Mus musculus: one gene and its partners. Each later gene encodes a partner of the first gene's protein in a complex. Links are inferred from orthologs where the notes say so. Each region holds a gene or a part of one and is shown in the gene's direction. Other genes may lie near its edges. The genes, in order: Ube2g2, Aup1 and Amfr.

The links.
Region 2: the proteins of Ube2g2 (region 1) and Aup1 are in contact, whole or in part, in a crystal structure (PDB 7LEW), measured with the Homo sapiens proteins. The link is inferred for Mus musculus from reciprocal best matches to the Homo sapiens genes UBE2G2 and AUP1. Residues at the interface, in NP_003334.2 of Homo sapiens: Tyr13, Thr17, Pro20, Gly23, Ile24, Val25, Ala26, Gly27, Pro28, Met29, Asn30, Glu31, Glu38, Leu40, Met42, Glu45, Glu50, Phe51, Val53, Pro55, Lys156, Val159, Gln160, Ser162, Leu163, Leu165; in NP_853553.1 of Homo sapiens: Ser379, Arg382, Gln383, Leu386, Arg389, Lys390, Leu393, Tyr394, Tyr396, Ala397, Arg398, Arg400, Phe401, Thr402.
Region 3: the proteins of Ube2g2 (region 1) and Amfr are in contact, whole or in part, in an NMR structure (PDB 2LXP), measured with the Homo sapiens proteins. The link is inferred for Mus musculus from reciprocal best matches to the Homo sapiens genes UBE2G2 and AMFR. Residues at the interface, in NP_003334.2 of Homo sapiens: Tyr13, Leu16, Thr17, Pro20, Gly23, Ile24, Val25, Ala26, Gly27, Pro28, Met29, Asn30, Glu31, Glu38, Leu40, Met42, Glu45, Glu50, Phe51, Val53, Val159, Gln160, Leu163, Gly164, Leu165; in NP_001135.3 of Homo sapiens: Ser574, Ala575, Arg578, Gln579, Met581, Leu582, Arg585, Lys586, Leu589, Leu590, Ala593, Arg594, Arg596, Phe597, Leu598, Lys600.

The regions. Positions count from the first base shown.
Region 1 is NC_000076.6:77,621,328-77,625,070, forward strand, and holds the start of Ube2g2 (ubiquitin-conjugating enzyme E2 G2), read left to right. Parts: upstream 1-993; 5' UTR 994-1,046; coding exon 1,047-1,089; intron 1,090-3,743. UniProt on the Homo sapiens protein: Accepts ubiquitin from the E1 complex and catalyzes its covalent attachment to other proteins. In vitro catalyzes 'Lys-48'-linked polyubiquitination. Involved in endoplasmic reticulum-associated degradation (ERAD).
Region 2 is NC_000072.6:83,053,616-83,057,336, forward strand, and holds the start of Aup1 (ancient ubiquitous protein 1), read left to right. Parts: upstream 1-905; 5' UTR 906-1,080; coding exon 1,081-1,217; intron 1,218-1,295; coding exon 1,296-1,433; intron 1,434-1,513; coding exon 1,514-1,664; intron 1,665-1,890; coding exon 1,891-2,075; intron 2,076-2,282; coding exon 2,283-2,355; intron 2,356-2,451; coding exon 2,452-2,525; intron 2,526-2,752; coding exon 2,753-2,819; intron 2,820-2,926; coding exon 2,927-3,029; intron 3,030-3,143; coding exon 3,144-3,263; intron 3,264-3,362; coding exon 3,363-3,478; intron 3,479-3,598; exon of another isoform or gene 3,599-3,660; coding exon 3,661-3,721. Other genes in the region: Htra2 (serine protease HTRA2, mitochondrial), read right to left, coding at 1-202, 306-811. UniProt on the Homo sapiens protein: Plays a role in the translocation of terminally misfolded proteins from the endoplasmic reticulum lumen to the cytoplasm and their degradation by the proteasome. Plays a role in lipid droplet formation. Induces lipid droplet clustering.
Region 3 is NC_000074.6:93,978,109-93,981,751, reverse strand, and holds part of Amfr (E3 ubiquitin-protein ligase AMFR), read left to right. Parts: intron 1-1,330; coding exon 1,331-1,434; intron 1,435-3,643. UniProt on the Homo sapiens protein: E3 ubiquitin-protein ligase that mediates the polyubiquitination of lysine and cysteine residues on target proteins, such as CD3D, CYP3A4, CFTR, INSIG1, SOAT2/ACAT2 and APOB for proteasomal degradation.

The DNA.
Region 1 (3,743 bases):
CTGTCTTCAGACACCAGAAGAGGGAATTAGATCTCGTGACAAATGGTTGTGAGCCACCATGTGGTTGTTGGGATTTGAACTCAGGACCTCCAGAAGAGCAGTCAGTGCTCTTAACCGCTGAGCCATCTCTTCAGCCCCCTTAATATTCTTTTTTAAAACGACAAATGTGATGAATCTAATGCCTCAAATCTTTTGAGTTCAGCTTCTTATACTCAGGGTCCCAGCAGGAACTTTCTCTTTGTCCCTACACCTAGTCCTGAAAGCCCCTTTTTTCGGAGAGCCACGTCCCGAGCTGTATCCCTCATGTCCACTTAGCGAAGGCAGTGGTGCACCTAAGAAAATACCAAGCATCTATCTGGCAGTTCCGTATGATGAGGAAGTACAGCTTACTTGGCAGAGTCTGAGTTTTTTTGGCCAGAGAGGATGGGATATGGCCCGGGAACTTTATCCTTCCTTTGTGAAACCAAGGTACTCTTTCTCTTGCTAGAAGTGTCATCTCAAATCACCTGGGCCTCAAAAACCAGGTGTAGTGGCACTTGGGAGACAGAGGTAGGCAGGTGGCATCTCTGTGAATTCGAGGCCGGCCTGGGCTAAATAATGAGTTCTAGGACATTCATGCCTACAAGGGGAAAGTTTCACGATCTGGACAGCCACTTCTGAGGGGCGAGCCCAAGCGCAAGGACATGAGTCTCATTCAGGAACAATCCATGATGAGCCATTAGCTCTCGCACTATTTTTCAAGACTAAAGGGCCGCAGGGCGAGCTGCGCAAAGCCTCACGGCGGCGTAGGAAACCTTCAATGCTGAGGGTGTGGCCGGCCGAGAAGATTCTGGAAGCCGAGCTCCGTCGACCCGGGCCATTACCCGGGGAGCGCGAGGCGAACCCCAGCGAGCCTGTCTGAAGCACCCGGGTGCGCCACGTCACCCGCGCGCGCCCCGGATGCATTTGCGCCCGGAGCCCGCGACCCGGAAGCAGTCGTGGGCGTCGGAGCGGGCGGGCGGGACCGGCGCGGATGTGGCGAGGCTGCTGAACGCAGGTTCCGCGGTATGGCGGGGACGGCGTTGAAGAGGCTGATGGCCGAGTATAAGCGTGAGTCAGGCGGCGCCGCCTTCCTGTCCTCTTCCCCATAGTCGCCCGCGGCGTGGCCCGGCATGGCTCGGCTCGGTGCGGTGCGGTGCGGGGGTACTGGGCCGGGCTGCGAGATTCCGCGTGCGGATAAAAGGCCAGGCTGTCGCCGTCACCTGCGCACCCCAGCCAGCGGCAGCGGGGCTGGCCCTGGGCTCAGAAGCCGGCCGGGGCAGCGCCGCCGTGGCCCTGCCACCCGGGTCTGGTCCCTAAGCCCCTGTGTGCTGCGCATCTGCCCTCCCGACAGTTGATGCTGCGGGGCGAGTACCGGGTAATCCCCGTAAGGTGGTCGAGCCGTCGAGGGGAGTTGGGGGAGAAAGTTAAAAATAAACAAGATAACGCCTCAAACCCCCGGCCACGCCGCAGGTGCGAGTTGCTGGGGAAAACCAAAGTTTCTCGGACACGGGCTCCGGACAGTTTCCTTGGATCCGGATCTGTTTTTCTCTCTGTTTTACTTTTTCAGCTCTGTGTCTAGATTGAGACACATCCCCTTTATCTAAAAAAGAGGGAACAGCATTTAAGCTCCGGGACAGGGGTTTAAGTTTTGACCACTTCTACCCAAGGGTATTCACATTAGAGAAAAACTTATCCGCCACAAAAAGCCTCTACTCGTACGTCAGACAAAACGTATTGTCACTTAATTTGAAGTTAAGGTTGTGAATCATCTCCGTGTGAGAGAGAGAAGGAATTTGGTTAAAGAGGGAACTCTAAAATAGGAAGGCTGGCGAGGGGCTCAGGGGGTTCACAGAGGAGAAGGACTCCACCTGCTGTGGCTTCTTGGAAGAGGAAAAAAAAGGGCAGGGAGCTAAGGGTGGCCCCAGGCTGACAGCTAGTCTGGGACCAGTGTTACAGCCATACGGAACTGAGTTGTGCCAGCGACTTGAATGGACTTGGGTTGCAGCCCTGAAACAACCAGCTGTCTCGGCTGGGCCCAAGCCCACATGGAAACCATGAGGTCATCAATGGATATTGTTTAAGCCTGTGGCAGCAGTGATGGAAATGCATCCAGCAGTACAAAGCACGAGGAGCGAGGGAGGGAGGGAGGTTTTTTCCGTGTCCTTGTGAATTCAATAAAAGTCCCACTGAGTGTTTTTCTTCCTTTATGGTATAAAAGGTTTGTCCTCTGTTTAAGACCATGTACTCTAGTATTAGGTAGATTCAACAGGAACATCCAGGTTGAATTAGAACATCCGAGGTTGGGCTAGAGCGAAGGTGTTCTTGCATACCTGATTGTACTGTAGATTTAGAGGCGATATGACCTTGAGTGTGGTTCATTGTCTAACTTTTTTTTAATGTGTTTTTTATGTGTATTTTTATGAGTATTTTGATTACACATAGGTAAGTGTGTCATATGTGTGCCTGTGCCAGTGGATGTCAGAAGATGACATCAGATCCCCAGGGACTGGAGTTACAGCTGGTTGTGAGTCTTTGTGTGGGTGCTGAACTAGAACCTGGATCTTCTGCAAGAGCAACAAAATCTATGAGTCATCTCTTCATCCCTATTGTTTTTCAGGCTCCTTGTTTTTCTTTTATAGCAGTTGAATAACAGATATAAAACGATTAGACTGTGGTCATATCACAAAAAGAGCCAAGCGAAGACCTTAGACTGCTCCCAAGTGCAGTGTCCTGTGCACGCAGAGGCGGATATTGAATGTCCCACTCTGTCGCTCACTCTCCACCCTCTTCTCTTGAGACCAGGCCTGTCATTGAACCTGGAGCTCATCAATTCAGCTAGAATGGCCAGCCAGTTAGCCCCAGACATCTTCCTGTTTCCTCCCTTGCCTCCAACTCTGGGGCTACAGGCACCCATGGTAAATAAAGCCTGCCTCTTTTTCATACGGGTGCCAATACTCGAACCTGGTTCCTCTGTAAGAACAGTGTGTGTTCTTGTGTCCTTGTCATATGTTTCCACAGCTTTTCTTCTTACTGTGACAGACAAGGGAACAGTGGTCCAGGGCTGTTGTAACATTGTCACCACTCAGATACCATAACAGACAGCATCTCATGGTTTGGAGATAGAATTAGAAGCCCACTTGTGGCCTGGGCTGTCACCCTAGGCAGGGTGGGCTTTTGGGGAAGGTCCTTCCTCCCTCTCAGCTCTAGAGTGCTGGCTACTGCGGGTTACTTAGCTGTGCTAGTGTAAGTCCTTCCTCTCCTGTACCTTCCTGTGGCCATCTGAGCCTGGGTGTGTCGGTATTCAGATTTTTCCACTTGAAATGTCAACAGTCACTGGCTTAGGGCCCAGCCTAGTCAGAATGTTCTGTATTTAATTCTGGTACATCTGCTGAGACTGTTTCCAGACAGTGTCACAGTTCCCACATTGGGGTAGACTTGAGATTGTTTTACAATGACAGCTGTTTTTGTGTATTTGTGGGTGGGCAGGCGAGTGCCACTGTGCATGTGCAGAAGTTAGGACAACTGACAAGGGTCACATCTCCCTTCTGTGTGGAGCCTGGGAATTTCGAGCTTGGCCTGTCAGACGAGGCAGGAGGTGTCTCTGCCCACCAAGGCAGCACGTCAGAGTAGGGGCGTGAACCAGAGCAGAGCTGTTCACCTAAGGCCAGACACGGGAGAAGTAGAAAGGCTGGGTCCCTGCATTCCCCTTAAGGATCTGCTCT
Region 2 (3,721 bases), on another chromosome or scaffold:
GGTTTGAATCCTCAGTGTGGCAATGTCTGCTACGGGATCCACAGCTGTGACCATGGCCTCATAAGTATCCCCGCTAGGCAGCCTCACTCGTACTCGGCGCCGATCAGCCACCACGTGGGCGTTGGTAACGATGAGCCCATCTGAAGCCACTACGAATCCTGATCCGTTTGAGATGGGGACTTCACGGCCGGAGAAAGGGTGCCTGGGATGGGGAAAGTACCCATTACACTGCAGCTTCCACCTCATCCTGCTCCCTTGCCTTCACTAACGGCAGTTCAACACCTCCTGGTCAACTTCACCATTACCGGTCTAGGATCTCGATATAGACCACAGCAGGGGCTGTCTTCTCCACCACATCTGCGATGAAATTGTACTGGCTCCGGGGAGAAGTGGGTGGCGGAGCAGGAACAGCAGCCAGCACCGTGGAAAGACCCCGACCCCAACCCCACAACAGCAGCACCACTGCACCTCCTGCGCCCACCGCCACCGCCAGCCATTCGCGCCGACGGCTTCCAGGGCTCCTGCGGGCCTCCTGGTCACTGGAGCCTGAAGTCCCCACATTCAATCGTGCCCAGAGATCCGGGGTCCTAGACGTCAGATCTGCCCGTGATGCAAGGAACCCCTCAGGCACCTGGGCCGGGAGACTGGGGGTCCCATAAGTCATCCAGATCTGAGAGTCAGGAGTTCCTGACGTCAGCAGAGCCCGGAGGTCAGGAGCTAACAGGGGAGGCTTCCTCCAGAAGATGCCCCCCAAAGCCCGCCATGCCCGAAGGCTCCAGTTTGCACCCCGCCCCGCTTTCAGCGCAGCCATCAGCTCCGCCTCGACTCTCCTCGCCCGCCCTACTCAGAGGCGGTCCTCTAGAACCCGGCAAGCGGTCTAGGAGAAGCAGGGCACGACGGTAGCTGTTCAGCGCATGCCGGGAAACGTAGTCCCGTCAGGACGCGCTCCTCTCCAGCATACGCACACGCTCACACACAAACACACACACATACACACACATTCCCCGGGGCCGCGAGGCATGCTGGGAACGCTAGCCCTTCCGGGGCGCCTCCGGGCCTCAGGTTCTGGCGTCTCGGCGGATGCCCAAAGACTCCGCCTTCCCAGGGGCCCCCGCGGCCCTGCGAAGATGGCGGCGACAGCGGCCCCGCTCTCCTGAAGCGGCTGCGATGGAACCTCCCCCAGCTCCGGGGCCGGAGCGGCTCTTTGACTCGCACCGGTAAGCGCTGCGGAGGGAAGAGACCGGTCAGCGCGTCCTGTCAGCTTCGGCGCCTGATCGCGTCGCCTCTCGCCACAGGCTCCCGAGTGACGGCTTCCTGCTGCTCGCGCTACTGCTCTACGCGCCGGTCGGCCTCTGCCTCCTGGTCCTGCGACTCTTCCTCGGGCTCCACGTCTTCCTGGTCAGCTGCGCTCTGCCCGACAGCGTCCTCCGCAGGTGCGGACCGCGGCGCCCGGGGGAGCATCGGGGCTGGGCTGGGCTCTGGACCGCACGGTCACCGCCGCCTGTGTCCCCAGGTTCGTGGTACGAACCATGTGTGCGGTCCTGGGGCTCGTGGCCCGGCAGGAGGACTCCGGACTCCGCGATCACCGCGTCAGGGTCCTTATTTCCAACCACGTAACACCTTTTGACCACAACATAGTCAACCTCCTCACCACCTGTAGCACCGTGAGTGGGGGGCGAGGCCGAGAGCGCCACCGGGTGGCTCCCCAGGCCCAAGCTCAAGGCTCCCCTTTACCCATTGGGATTCTCTTGGGGAACACCGAGCCTTTCCCCCAGCCCCTTAATCGCCACCTCACGTGTCACCCTTTTCCTCTTTCTTTCTGTCTTTTCCTTTCTCTTTCTCTTTTTGACATTTCCTTCCATTCTTCTTGCTTTTTCTCCCCGTTCTCAGCCTCTACTCAATAGTCCCCCCAGCTTTGTGTGTTGGTCTCGGGGCTTCATGGAGATGGATAGGCGGGTGGAGTTGGTGGAGTCACTCAAGAAATTCTGTGCTTCCACGAGGCTTCCGCCCACACCTTTGCTGCTCTTCCCCGAGGAAGAGGCCACCAATGGCCGAGAAGGGCTGCTGCGTTTCAGGTGGGTAAGCGCAGGCATCTGGCTCCAGTTGAGTGGGTGCCCTAGTTCCTTTCCTGTCTGCCCACTTTTAGCCCTGCCCTCGAAATTCTTAATTCCTCAGTTGTCTGCTTATGGAGTTGGACAGTTTACTAGTTTAAGTCAGATATAAGTGGTTGGCTGGGCTAGGCTGAACTCCCATACTACTCGCTCTCTCTCCCTCTCTCTTAGTTCGTGGCCATTTTCTATTCAGGACGTGGTACAACCTCTTACCCTGCAAGTTCAGAGACCCCTGGTCTCTGTGGTGAGTGCATGCTGGACAGGGACTACTCTGGGGTCTGGAAGGGAAGTTTCCCACCTGTGGCCCTGGCTTAGACCTCACTTCATGCCCTCCCCTCAGACGGTGTCAGATGCCTCCTGGGTCTCAGAACTGCTGTGGTCCCTTTTTGTTCCTTTCACGGTGTATCAAGTAAGGTACTAACTGTCCTCCGTTTTTGGTGGCTGGGAAGGTGTTCACCTCAAGGGCATGGAAGTAGTGACCACTATCCTGTCTGCCTGTGGTTTGTTAATGTCGAAGTTCTAACAGAAGCAACACTTATCTTCATCTCCCTACTCTCCCCACCACTGTTCCAAGATAAATGGGGAAGGGCCATACCCTTAGCCCCTGTCGACTTAACAGGGCAGGGCTCTGGTTTTTGTAGGTGGCTTCATCCCATTCGTCGACAGCTAGGGGAAGAGAGTGAGGAGTTTGCGCTCCGTGTACAACAGGTGGTAGTGAACAGGGGTGTGGTGGAAGTGGGGGGGTCCCTCCCTCCTGGGGAGAAGGGGAAGAAGACCTGACGAGGCTACAGCTATAACCTTCCAATTCTCCCTAGCTGGTGGCCAAAGAATTGGGCCAGATAGGGACACGGCTCACTCCAGCAGACAAAGCAGAACACATGAAGCGACAAAGACACCCCAGATTACGCCCCCAGTCAGGTGTGTGATCTGGGCACAAAGATGCTTGCTGCGCTTGGTGGTTTTGCTTCCCTCCTTACGCGTGTCTGCCTCTCTCAGTAATCCACTCACCTCATTTTTTTTTCTTTTAAACAGTGCAGTCTTCTTTTCCTTCTCCTCCCAGCCCTTCTTCTGATGTGCAGCTGACCACTCTCGCTCACAGAGTCAAGGAGGTTCTGCCCCATGTGCCATTGAATGTCATCCAGAGAGACCTGGGTATGGGAAAGGGTAGCATCACAGAATGGCAGACACAGGAAAATGGGTCTCAACAGAGAAGGGGTACAGGGAGTGGACACTCTGCCCCTCTCTTCCCAGCCAGGACTGGGTGTGTAGACTTGACCATCACAAACCTGCTCGAGGGGGCTGTGGCTTTCATGCCTGAAGATGTCACTGAGGGATCTCAGTCCCCGCCTGCACCCTCTGCCCCAAAGGTGAGACCTGGAGTAGTCAAGGCCAAGACTTAAGGGCAGGTCTGGGCAGTCTCTGCTCCCTCTCCCTGACTTCTCGCCTTGATGTTGAGACCCTAGCACAGTGCCTCTCTTGCAAAGTAGGCATTCGATGGGTGTATAATGATGATGACTTCGCAAGCCCTCTGACATTGTGATCACCTCAGTTCCCCAGCTCGGGCCTGGCGACCCCTCAGCCCACAGCCCTAACGTTTGCCAAGTCTTCCT
Region 3 (3,643 bases), on another chromosome or scaffold:
CCAGAATCCTTGCTTCCCATGGAATTTCCTGCCTCAGCTACAGCCAGCCAGTCAGCTTTATTTGACAGGTAAAGCTTCCAGACAGACAGCGATTCCTAAGAGCCAAGCACAAGCTTGTTCTCGCTCAGTGCTGAACTCTTCCATGTGGGCCTCAGCGTGCTAGTCCAGCCCCTTACCTCTGAGCCATGTAGTTCCAGCCATTTTCTGATTTCTCTTTGAGACAGGGTCTCATGATGTTTCTCAGGCTGGCTTTTCACTTGTTAATTCTCTTGTCTGTACCTCCCAAGAAGCTGGGATTACAGACCTGCACCACCAGACTTGCTTACTAGGTACAGCTTCTGAAATGTGTTGGCAGATCTTGGAGATGGAGATATATATATATATCCCATCACTTTGTCCCTTGTTTTGGCAAGATCCCTTGTATCGCATGCTGCAGCTTGGTCGTAAAGCAATACAACCCCACACATGAAGCTCTGAAGCTTGATCTGAATGTTTTGTAGTTGGCACATGATGGCTTTGAATTGTGATCCTAAAACAATAGAAACGACACCTGCTAATGATTACATCACTCCACAAACCTATGTTGGAGAACGCTTTGAAAAAGAATTTATAATCTGAAAACTAAGGTAACCAACCCCCCATTCCGCAAGGCACTGTTTCATTGTGTAGCCCTTGCTGGCTTGGGGTTCACTATGTTGACCAGGCTGACCTTGAATTCACAGAGATCCTTCTGCCTCTGTCTCCCAAATGATCAGAGTAAAGGTGTATATTAGGGAATGGAGGTGTGTACCTCTCTTGAATGGGTAAGAGAACACCCCTATACCTATTTAAAACAAGGCATTCAGCACAATGCCCAGACCAAGGTTAAGTTATATTAAGCAGAAAGTACTTCATGAAGGTAATGATGGAAATGGCTCATCCACATGAGGAGTAATTTGTGCTGGTTGTAGCAGAGGAGTGGACCTGAGCTGCTAGAGCAGTTTCGGAGTCATGGGAACCCTTGACGAGAGAAGGGATTGCAGGTGGAATGGCTGTCTGGCCTCACGTTCTGCCACGTCATTAACCTGTGTGGTCTTGGATGTGTTTCCCTAACTTCTCAGTGCCTCAGGGACCAAAGACCAAGGTTGGGGCCAGAGTCACATCTCTCAGGGGAGTGGAAAGCACGTGTAGGTTTTGGTGAGGACAGAATAAACTAATCTGGAGAAAACACTTGGCAAAAAAGGAAAGCATAAAGAAAGCCCTCAGGCACTTGGTAGAGTGCCTGGAAACAGATGACACTGGGGCAGGGACCAGGGCACTAATTCTTGTGTTGGACTCTGATTTGTCTTAGGGTCCCGGATTGCAAGCTGGCTGCCAAGTTTTTCAGTTGAAGTGATGCACACTACCAACATTCTTGGCATCACGCAGGCAAGCAACTCTCAGCTAAATGCCATGGTAAGAATTGCTGACTGTTTAAGATGAGAACTAGTGAGTGGTCAGGAGGGCACAAGGAGCTCCATGACATGTGAATAGTGTGGCGGGGATAGGGTGGCGGGGATAGGGTGCATGACCTTGCTGGTTTCTCATAGCACAGCCAAGTTTTCAGGGACCACTTCCATTTCTTTCCATTCACTCCTCTCTTCTTTGTCTCCCTCCCCTCTTCTCTCCCTGTCTGGAACAAAAGATTAAATCCAGGCCTGAATGTACTAAGAGTGCTACCTCAGAGCCTTGACACGATAATAAGCTGGTGCTGACTAGTGAGTGCTCAGGTAGTAAGGCAGGCAGCCCACACCAGTCGGGAACTTGCTTGTGTTTTACCTGTGGCAGTGCTCACTACCAGGTCTACCTTACTGTGACCCAAGCCCACGCTGAGACTCCTTGATTTAAGCAAACATTCAGAAGGAAGTATCAACAAGAGTGAACAATATAAAGAATTACATAAGAATTATCAAATACATTTTTTTTGTTTCTTTGCCTCCAAAGTGTTGTGTGTGTGTGTGTGTGTGTGTGTGTGTGTGTGCATGTCTCTGCACCTTGTAACTTTGAGGCATGCTGTTGGCTCAAGGAAATTGTCCAAATACTTTTTGTTTTTGTATTTTTCTGAAGCTGTGTATTTGGTTTTTGGAATAGGGTTCTGTCTGACATGGAATTCTATGTAGAACAGCCTGCCTGCCTTTTTTCCTCCTGAGTGTTGGAACTGAAGGCATGTGCCACCAAACCTGGCTAAAAGTCTGTCTCTGAGCTGGGTGTGGTGGTGCATGCTTTTAGTGCCAGCACTTGGGAGGCAGAGGCAGGAGGATTTCTGAGTTCGAGGCCAGCTTGGTCTACAGAGTGAGTTCCAGGACAGCCAGGGCTACACAGAGAAACCCTGTCTCGAAAAACAAAAACAAAAACAAACAAACAAGCAAAGGAACAAAAAGTGTGTCTCTGTGAGTGGACTGTACTCAGCTCAGCAATTGCAGTGCCCTCAAGGCAGACAAGAGTCTTCTTGGGAAGGGTGGGTTGTGTGTAAGCTCAAAGGTTGGCAAGATGGTTGGTGTATAGGAAGGAAACAGTTGCTCAGGCTGTGGTGAGGTTGTACTGGGAACTTGGGAAGGGTTTGTCAAAGGAAATTCTTTTCTTTTTCATCCCTTCCTCTCTCCCTCCCTGGTCTCTCCCTCCCTGGTGGAGCTCTTGGGAGTTAATCCTGGGTATTGCTTATATGTTCGGGCTCCTTCTTTCCTCCCCTCTGCCTCTGTCCCCTTCTCTTCTTTCCTCATGCTGGACACTAAGTCTAGGGCCTGGGCCTGCTAGGCAAGGGTTTTGCTACTGCACTACACCCTCGTCTCCCTGCTTTCGGAGATAGGTTCTCTAGTCCAGGTTGGCTTGAACTCATGATCCCCCTGCCTCAGCCTCCTGAGTATTGGGATTAGAGAGCACAGCCATGGGTTGTTTTTTAGTGAGGAATGTGTGACTAGGAATGATCTTTAGAAAAGTAGAAGTTGAGGTACAAAACCAGGAGAAATACTGACTGCAAGGGTACCACCCTTCAGGTGAAGGGGTAGGGTGGAAGTGGGGAAGGGAAGAGAGCTTTAAAGACAGAAGGAGGGGTGATAGAGCTGCGGACAATGTTTGGGGTTTGGGTGAAAAAGGAAAGATTGATTGGCTTACAGTAGGCTAGAAGTAGAAGCAGTTTGAATGTGAATGAATGGACAGAGAGGAAACTTGTGCATATAGTGGAATAGTGCCTTAAAGCTGTGGGGATTCTGGCCCTTGCTATCCTGTGGAGACATGCGAGGCCAGTATGCAAAGGGAAAAGCTGCGGATAAAAAGACAGGATAGAAATGGTTTTTGATCACAGCAAACATAGAAAATGCAGGATACACGGCTCCTGCTGTCTCCCTCTTGCTCCTTCCTCTGAGATCATCACCATGTAAACAAACATAGGTGCTCTGGGATGGAAGAGCGCTGGAGGGCTCTTGGCTGACTCTGGCTGGCAACAGCTTCATTCCAGGAGGTGTGAGCCTCCTGAGAAGGGGTTGGTTTAAAATCTTAGGTAGGCCCTATCAGCTCTTTAGTCTACTTCAGATGATTCAAATAACTAATTTTTAGCACAACGAATTTACTGGAACTATGCATTTTTAATTAAAATCTAGTATTTAACTGACTGGATTTTCTGGTAGAA